2 linked regions of the Drosophila melanogaster genome follow. The protein of the gene in region 1 interacts with the protein of each later gene in a pairwise test. Each region holds a gene or a part of one and is shown on either strand. Other genes may lie near its edges. The genes, in order: RNaseZ and Cpr12A.

Region 1 (5,519 bases):
ATAATTCTTATCCCGCTAATTCTGCTGCTTTCGTTTTGCCGTATTTTAAAGCTATTTATTTATTTTTAAACAGAGCATTAATTTTATCAATGTTGGAATTACGTTTATTTATGACATCCAAATATTAACCAAAAGTTGTCCCCTCCACCTCCCCCACTCCAACACACACACACACCAAATATCGAAGGACCTTAATTAAGATCATACATACATACATATGTACTTTGTCGTTTACCTACTAATTTTAACTAGTCACAGCTAATTTCCAAAAAGAATATCAATTGCGAAAAAAAGAAGAGACCGTTGAACTAAAGTGCCTTAAAGTTGAAATTTAAATGACTAAAACGATATAAAATGTTTCAAAGTGCTAAGATTCAAGTGCCCTTGTTGAGTCGGCAGAGTGGATAATTACTATTGATAATTATGAATATTATTTATGATATTGTCGTGTCCGAACCAACAGAAACCATTTTAAAAAATCTATACAAAAATCGTTTATTACACAGACACTGTTGCAAGCGTAATTAGTAAATAAAGAAGAAACTAAAAAACAAAATGGATTATTTTATATTTTTATTGGGTTTTTGGGTTGGATCATACAAATAACTTGTAAATGATGCAAATGCAAATATCACAAGCATATACAGATACAAGCAAAGGTGCCCTATTAATTTCATATATAAAATCTATATATCTCCAATTAGTATTTGGGCAAATTTTATGGTTTCAAGAAATAACATTAAACTTAACAAATACCACTCAACTCTGACATAAGATTAACAGTAGCTCCTTGAGTAACTTATACTGACTATCCGGATTAACTTGCCGGCAATCACGTTTCTGCCAGTTTTCGCTTTCGCTCCTGTTTCAGCTCCCGCTTGACAGCCCGCTGCTCCAGTTCTTCCGTGTACTCGGCGTACATCGCGAAAAGGGCGGGGTAGAGCTTGTGGTAGTGCTGCAGATCCTCAACGGTCACTTCCATATTATCAAAGGCTATTGCAACTCGTTGCATATCCTCATCACTCGGTAATCGCGGGCACTTAGCGTAACGCTGCGAAAAGTGGGAGAGAATCGTATGGCGGGCGTTCATATTCCGCCCCTGCTGAATAGCCTGCGACACGGTGCTGTGCGTCTTTAACCGCGCCTCCTCCTCCAAGTCATCCTCCATTGTCGCCTCGTGAATAAGAACGGTGGAGTCGCGGCCCAGATCGATCAGATCCTGACATGGCATAGTGTCGCCGCTGTAAGTGATCTTGACGGGTTCGCTATTGTGCTTTGCCGCCAGAGTTAGGCTTATTCCGAAAGAGTTGGGGCAGTGCCTAACTAGGCAGGTGGATATGGACGTAATTCCTAGACGTTCAACTTGTTCACCGCTCAGGGGACTAGCTAGGAGTTCACCGTTGCCCACTAGAGTATACGCATCTTCTACGGTTTCTATTTGTCGATTGTAGAACTCCAACCAAGGTTCAATTTGGCGAGGAGCCAGCAGAATAAGTGGGTCTGCCCTAGGTTTTAATTGCCTCCTTTCCCGGAGCAGACCAATCAATCCAATGTGGTGGTCGGCATGCAAATGGGATACATAAATCGCCTGTAGCTGGCGAAGAATCAACTGCCCTTTCTCGTGTCCATATAGTCGTACAATTTGACCATAAGTTCCTTCTCCACAATCCAACAACACGTAGGCATCAATTGCAGTCCTGATCAGAATGGAGCTCACGTTTCGCGTCTTATTGGGAATGCAGGAGCCTGTGCCCAAGAAAATTATCTTCGGGTAGCTATCGGCAGAATTGTCAGGGAAACTATACTCTTCTTTGAATTTGGCCAATAGTTCCAGAAATCCTGGTACGGCATGGGTCTCCTTAACATACTCCTCTGGTGTGAGTTTGGACTCAAGAGTGCGATCCAGACCTTCAGGTAATAAAAATATACTTATAGCATTGAATGGTAAGTAAAAAATAGTACCAACCTTTCCTTGGTCTCAGGTGATAGTTTGTCATGGCGACCACACCCTGTTCTTCTGTCTCGTTAGCCTTTGCATTTGCTTTGTCCTCCGAATCGGCCTCGTCCAACTTCGTTTTTTTAAGGTTTAGACTGAGAGTCTGACTCTGGCAGGACAATTGTTCGCCCAGGAGTGGAAATACTTGCGGTGCCAGTTGGTGGAGTTGGTGTTGAATGCGATGGGCGGCTGCATAGCCTGAGAATTGGTTGAGGGGAGAACTTAAGTATATGTGCTGTGCCTCAGATGAAAAACTCTCCACCACAAAATCCTTGTACACCTGACGAGAAGATATATGATAAGGCGTGAAGTGCACCACAAGCGCCACTTCAGTTAACTTCTCTTCGCCTAACTTTTTAAGCCTTTTGCCGTGTGTAAGCAGTGCTGGTAGATAGTTCTCACTGGGCACATCAAGGAAAACAAAGGACAGTGCAGTTTCACTGGCTTCGGTGACGTCGACTGAACGCACCACCTTTCCATCAGGCAGTGTGATATCGTTGCCATTCTTTAGCTGTCCCAGAAGTGGTCCTGGCGGCACACCTTGCTCCACGCACTTCACCAAGTTTAGGGCGCCAGCTCGCGGTTTCAGCTGACAAATGTAGTTAATTACACTTTTCGTCGGATCTTCCGAATTGATCAGGGGCAGAGAGTCCACCTTCAAGATGGAATCCTCAAAACAGGCGCCCTCAGAACAATCGTTTGGCCGCACCTGGAGATTCTTTAGCACCACGAAACGTCGCATTGACTGCAGCATAGAGCCGAGATGAGGCGGTCCATGGAGTCCAATGTCGCGCACTCCGGCATCTTGGATGGTGAGCGTCAAACCTGGTAACCCTCCGCAGGAAGCCCACGTATTTTGTGTAAGGAAAATTTGTTCCAGGCGTGATAGGCGGGTTTTGTGCTCGTGAGCTAGTCTCTGGGTTCCCTCGCCGCAGTTGAAGAGATAGCGTGCCTGGTCCGTAAACAAATAAACAGCGGCAGGCGCTCCATTGGCGCCAGAGCCCAGAACCTGAAGATTTACTGTTCCCGGCACCACGGAGGCCAGCTTTTTTCTAAGCACATTGGGTTCCCGCTCATAGCGAGGTCCTGTTAAAGGATCCTTGGCCGAGGCAATTGTGGCCGCCATCAAATTACTGGTTGTGAGCGTTCGCAAGGTTCTGTAGATCGGCGACCTGGCTGATTTTACTAAATACATTCGTATTTCGTCAGAGTCTGTAGTCGCGGGCTTCTAATAAACTGAAAAAGCGGGGAATTCGCTGAAATCATTCGCACAAATTTCGTCAGCACCGGCAACGTGTGTCTGCGAACAGCTGTTGCTATTAGTGATGGCACGCTGATGGTTGCGATACATCGAAATGGGACGATAGTAAAAAATAGAAGAAAAGTGCTAAAAGGAATTAAATTTAAGTTAAAATGATTCTTGTCTAGAAAATTGATTATATTTTTCTGTTGTATTTTACAGTTTTGGAATTTCTAGATATGTTTTAATAAATAAGGGCAGTAAATTATTCCAACTTTATATTATTATTAACCATATCAATGAATGTTGAATTAAAAATTAATATGTTAGATTAAGTAAATTCCTATTTGCGTACTTGAAATCGGTCTTAGGCAACACTGAATTTCAGGTATTTAAGCCTCGAACGTGATTGGTCACTCTAATGCCCACGTGCGTTTTGTTTGGCCTCCGCCGGCGGTAAATTCAACCAAATTACCTGAAATTCCAAGGATTCCCCGGTAAACAAGAGATCAGCGACTGCTACACCATGGTCTTCTTCACGTGCAACATCTGCGGCGAGTCGGTAAAGAAACCGGCGGTGGAAAAGCACTACCAGACGCGCTGTCGCGGCAAAGACAAGAACGTGTCCTGCATGGACTGCCTAAAGGACTTCTATGGCGAGGAGTATGTGGCACACATTAAGTGCATCTCAGAGGCCCAGAAGTACGCCAGCCAAAGCCAAGGCTTTGCCGCCAAGGAGCCCCGCAACAAGAACGCTCAAAAGCAAGAGAGTTGGATGGACATCATTCGGTCGATCCTCGACAGCAGCGAGTACAATTTAACTCCAGCCGTTCGATCCGCCTTCCAAAAGCTCCAGAGCGTCGACAACGTGCCCCGCAAGAAGGCTAAGTTCGAAAACTTCGTGGGAAACTGCATGCGCATGCCCCGCAACCAGGCCACCCAGGTGTGGGATATTCTCGAGAAGGAGCTGAACAAGATGAAGGAGGCAAAGCAAGCGGAGCTGGCCAGAGCCAAGGCGGAAAAGATTGCTGAAATACAGCAGAAGCAGAAGGCAGAGGTCGAGGAAGAGGCGCCACCCAAGAAGAAGGCCAAAGTGGAGACCACAGAAGATGCTGCTGCCGAGGAGACCTCCAACGGCGTGACCAGCGACTTTGATTGGGCCGCCCAGCTAACTAAGATCGTTACCAAGCAAGCAGATGGCATTTTCCTGGAAAAACTTCGTAAGAAGCTGCTCAAGAAGTATGCCAAGCATCTGTCCGTCGAGGATTTGAACGAAAAACAGGCGAAGAAGTTTCAGAAACGCTTTGATAAGCAACTTAAGCTCGCCGATTCCTTGGAAGTCGAGGGTGAAATAGTTAAGATCGCTAGCTAGCCGAATATCCCACCTTTAGTCATAGTTTAATTATAACAAAAGGACAATAAACGTGTAAGCTGGAAGTGGTGCCCATGTATTAATCCCACATCTAGGACTTGTACTTTAGATACTGCATACATTGCTTCAAATGATTGCGTGTCTCTTCGCACTGGGCTGTTTGACGGAAGCGCTTGGTGGGACAGTGCAGGATCATCTCGTTGGCCACGCACTCGAGGACCAGTCCGGGATACGGATGACAGCCAAGACGCGAAAGACGTTTGGATAGCTGCTTCACACCTTTGTGCGGCATCAGTGAGAGCGCTGCAAAGGGTAGTTCATTTAGAGATGATTTAATAAACAACTCGCGCAGCTTGCACACCATGCTTGTCGCACTTGACATAGGTGTCATAGAGAAGCTTAATGTCCGCATCGTTGACCAGGTCGCTTTCCAAGTGCTCCTTTACCTCATTGAGATTCAGTGAACGGCGGTCCCTGCCCAAGAAGTTCGTACTGTTGAAACTGCACTCTGCGGTGCACTGATTAAGCAATTAGTTTGGTACTTGTTTACGCTCCTCAACCGAACTCACAAACATGTACGTCTGCTCCTCTTCATCCGTCTCGTATGGAATCTTTTCGTGCCACTCCATCTGGCAGTCGCTAAACTGGGGACTCTCGTCGTGCAGGTCGCAGCAGAAATCATGCTGCAATAAAAAGTTGTACCCGATCATCATTTTATATGACGATTTCATTGTCTGGCTCTCGAGTTCTATTTGTTTGCTATAATTATTCTGATTTTCGCATCTTTCGTTTCTATACTGCTCTAAATCCATCCATGTCTACAACTCACCATTGTATCTACAGAATTCAGTTCACAGTCTTCATCCAACGCCGGTGGAGTACTTCTACCCGTCACAAAAGCGGTCAAAAGG
Region 2 (3,808 bases), on another chromosome or scaffold:
AGGAAGTGCCTGATGTATCTGTTGCCACTTTGGCAAGTTTAGCGCGCCTCTTCTGCCCGCCCAACTGACGCACTGACAAAGTGACAAGCTGACAGAGTGACTAACTGACAGAGTGGCAAACTGCCACAGTGACAAACTGACTGCCAGCTTGACTGCCCGACTGACTGAGCGACTGTGACTGCGCTTGTCACTGCGACTTGGCCATAAATCTGCGCCGGATGCCGCGAAAAATGCAAAACAATGTGGCTAAAAATAAGAAGCAAAAAATATTAAATTATTTCATAAATGCTATCTGCTTAAGAGGTGACTGGGCCTTAATGCACCGGCGTGACCTTTGAGGTGTGCGCAAATTAATTAAACGGCGATAAGTCCGTGTCGACATATTGACAGCTGCCCCCGAGCAACACTAACCAATAAGTTTCGCTGTCCCTGAGCTCCTGCGTTTCCTGGGCTTCATGGGCTTTCTCGGCTGCCCGAACCCCCCGGCTCAATTGCACATCATTAACTTTGGCCGACTGACCAAGTGGGTCCATTTCCCCAACCCCCTGTGCGCCCCTGGCATTCAGCTGGCCAGATTCCAGGCCTGTGTTCGCTAAATCGCTGCACATTAAATGCAATTAAGAAATGATTGAAATCATAAATTAGCCCTAATTGGCCACAGGACGCTCGCCTCGTTCGCTCCTCCTGATGCTCCTGCTGCTCCATATCTTCCTTCCCCTACGCACCCCCCCCCCCCCCCACCGATCATGTGCCGCCCCTGGTGTTGCATCTCCACCGCTCGGAATACGCTGCCTTTCAGCTTAACGATGACAGGCGGCACGTACTGGCTGGCCAAATTGTAGGGTGCAAGAATTGTAGTATTTTTAGCTGCTGCCCAGCACCGTGGGCTGCAATCTAAGGATCCGCTTCCCTTATATCTTTATGTCTTAAACCATAAATATATTTAGCTTAATGTTATACAATTTTTATAAATCATTACACCAGCTTATTAGCTTTAATATAATAGTATATTTAGCATAGAAACCAGCAATATAGATTCGACGGATAAAGATACCTACTACTCACTTCAGTCTTTATATACATATATCTAAAGTGTTTTCACAAATTAAAACAACCATATTTTCTACAGCCTAATAAAGACATGAATTTAATTGCCTATTAGTTGTTGAACAGCCATTCTCAACGGTTAGCACAAAAGGCACTTTATAGCGATTCCCTGGCCATCCATCAATTGGCTGCAAATCGATTATGTCTGCCGTATCAGTTTCGAACTGTGATTGCTTAGCCCCACGCCCTTTCCGCCACATCCGCCCCCTTTCCACCTTAACCCCCGGAATGCCAACATTATCGAAACCCACTGGTTAACCCATTGTGAGCAATTTGGCGGCCGTGCGAACAGCGCCAAAAGCAAACACACAAAAGAGGCGCAACCAAATTGCCCAGTTAGCAACCTGTCCAGCCCCTGCCCCGCCCCAACCGCCCCCTTTAACCCATTGAGCTGGGCACACCGATAAGCATGTGTGTAAGTAGATGAAATTAAGATTTTTTTTATATGATTAAGCGTCGAGAATTTTTGACGGCAATGGCTCAGAGAGATGTGCGTGCACTGAGCGAAAAAGGTACGATTTCTGCATTATATTCTACAAATATATATATATAGATTTTATCAAAATATTTCATGACTTCTGATAGATACAAATAAAATATAAACGAGCCTCATAAGTCTTAAGCTTCTAATTATTTTGTAATGCAGTTAGCTGGCTTATTGCTAGGATTTTTAATGGTTAAATGGCGCAACTCCTTTTCTAGCCGTGTACTCGGCTCTCAGTCACCCTTTCGGATATCCCGCTTCAGCTCAGGCTAAAGATCTTCGCTGCCTCGGTCGCCGCCGACTGCGCTGCTCGCCTCGCTGCCTTCTCGATGTCGACTATAAAAAGCCAATGTTACACTGTTTCCGAATTAAACCGCTAAGAAAACATCGCGCGACAGCACACACACCATCCACCTGCGTAGCCCAAACATCCCACACATCCATCCCACCACCACCCATAAATCACATTACATCCACATATCCACACACACATTCACACCGATCCGAGTTAAAATGGCCACTTCCGGTTCGATCCTGTTCGCCATCTTCCTGCTGAGCGCCACCCTCATTTCCGCCCAGCAGATCAAAGAGTCGGCGCCCAGTGCGCGATTACTAGATCGATTCGATAACCGATATCCCGACGGCAGCTACGAGTATCGATTCGAGTTGGACGATGGAACCGCTCGCTATGAACGTGGATATTTCGTTAAGATCAACGATGTAAAGACCCTGATGGTTGTGGGCTACTATGCCTATCGGATGACCGACGGGCGTTACATCACCGTCTTCTACAATGCCGATCAGTTTGGCTATCGACAGAATCAGTGTAAGTATCGGAATTGCGGTTTTCGGTGTGAAGTGATCACAAAGAATTTCAAAGTGATGACAAGGGGCTTTCATTCTTAGAAATATTTTATGTATTAAACACTAAAATATTCATAAATAAGCAAATTATTTTCATAGGAAGGATATGATTTGTGTACTTTGTTACCCTTTTTTTTATATAATTTGATACACTAGATCGATTATTTCGAGTGAGAGCACACGAATGACGGCTCTTTTTGAACACGAGTGAAATGATTAATGTAAACGAGCCAACCATTATCGCAACTCTTTCAGCGAAAATTAATAAGACACGCAAACACCCGTCGATTATTTTCAGCCCAAGAGCACAGATAGCCCTCCACTCGAATCTGGTTTATATTAAATTATATTATTTTGCTACGCCCACAGCGATCACGCCGCAGGAATATCCCAATCTGCCGCGTTCCATCGAGGTGCCCATGGTCAGCGAGGCATCTGCGGCATCCGCGGCATCTGATGGCGTCTCCAGTTCCCAGTTCCAATCTCAGTTTCAATCCCGTCTGGATGCCCATGGTAACCCCTCCATCACGACGACCACGCCCAGGGGGGCGGGGACAAATCGTAGGGGCCGCTACTGAGAGTTCGTAATTGCACACCATGCCCATTATTATTATTGGCTCCCTACATCGTTTTTTATACCTTATTTTATTATTTTTTTTTTTTAATTTTGTGCCCCCGACTACTCGTATTATATTATTATGAATTTAATTTCTGTCCACATTTTTGTTGTGTTCAATGAAATGGGATTAAAAAATAATAAAAATTTATTAAGGCAAAGCAGCGAAAAATTATGAATTTATTATTGAAGATGTTTCCAGTTGTTTGTAGCTGTTTTGTGGATCTGTTTTTTATTGCTGTCCACGCCCCTTCGCGCCTCCAGCCCCCCTTACCAGAGTTCGTTGCGAAGATTTCGCGATTTTTCGAAAGTCGCCGACAATTTGGCAATAAATTTACCACAAAGCGTTTCGGGCAATAAAACATACAAGTGCAGGGCGGCCCCTCGCCACCCTGGGGTTATATATATATAAATATATATACATATTGGATCTGGACATATTTTTGCATTTTTAACACATTTTTGGCGAGGTTCTCGAGCCGAGGGCAATTAAGAAACGAAAACGAAACCAAACAAGAAAATGTCCAGTGCACAGAGAAAAACTATAAGGTATTTTCAGCAAAAAAAAAAACAAGTTGACTTAATAAATAATTACCGCACTTATTGCCTACATAATAATTTCATTGATCAATTTTATTCTGTGCAGTAGAATTAATGTATAAATCTAAGTATCTGACTTTATATGTATATGTATATATCTATGTATTTATGAAATTACAAAATACATTTCATTTGGA

Evidence for each region.
Region 2: the proteins of RNaseZ (region 1) and Cpr12A interact in a two-hybrid assay, tested with the Drosophila melanogaster proteins (one large-scale study listed by BioGRID).

What each region holds. Positions count from the first base shown.
Region 1 is NT_033778.4:10,306,473-10,311,991, forward strand, and holds RNaseZ (ribonuclease Z), read right to left. Parts: upstream 3,323-5,519; 5' UTR 3,192-3,322; coding exon 1,967-3,191; intron 1,909-1,966; coding exon 833-1,908; 3' UTR 558-832; downstream 1-557. Other genes in the region: CG12909 (uncharacterized protein), read left to right, coding at 3,763-4,608; Obp46a (Odorant-binding protein 46a), read right to left, coding at 4,700-4,911, 4,970-5,126, 5,178-5,291, 5,438-5,519. UniProt on the Drosophila melanogaster protein: Zinc phosphodiesterase, which displays some tRNA 3'-processing endonuclease activity of nuclear and mitochondrial pre-tRNA. Probably involved in tRNA maturation, by removing a 3'-trailer from precursor tRNA.
Region 2 is NC_004354.4:13,541,670-13,545,477, forward strand, and holds Cpr12A (cuticular protein 12A), read left to right. Parts: upstream 1-1,973; 5' UTR 1,974-2,104; coding exon 2,105-2,417; intron 2,418-2,824; coding exon 2,825-3,033; 3' UTR 3,034-3,238; downstream 3,239-3,808.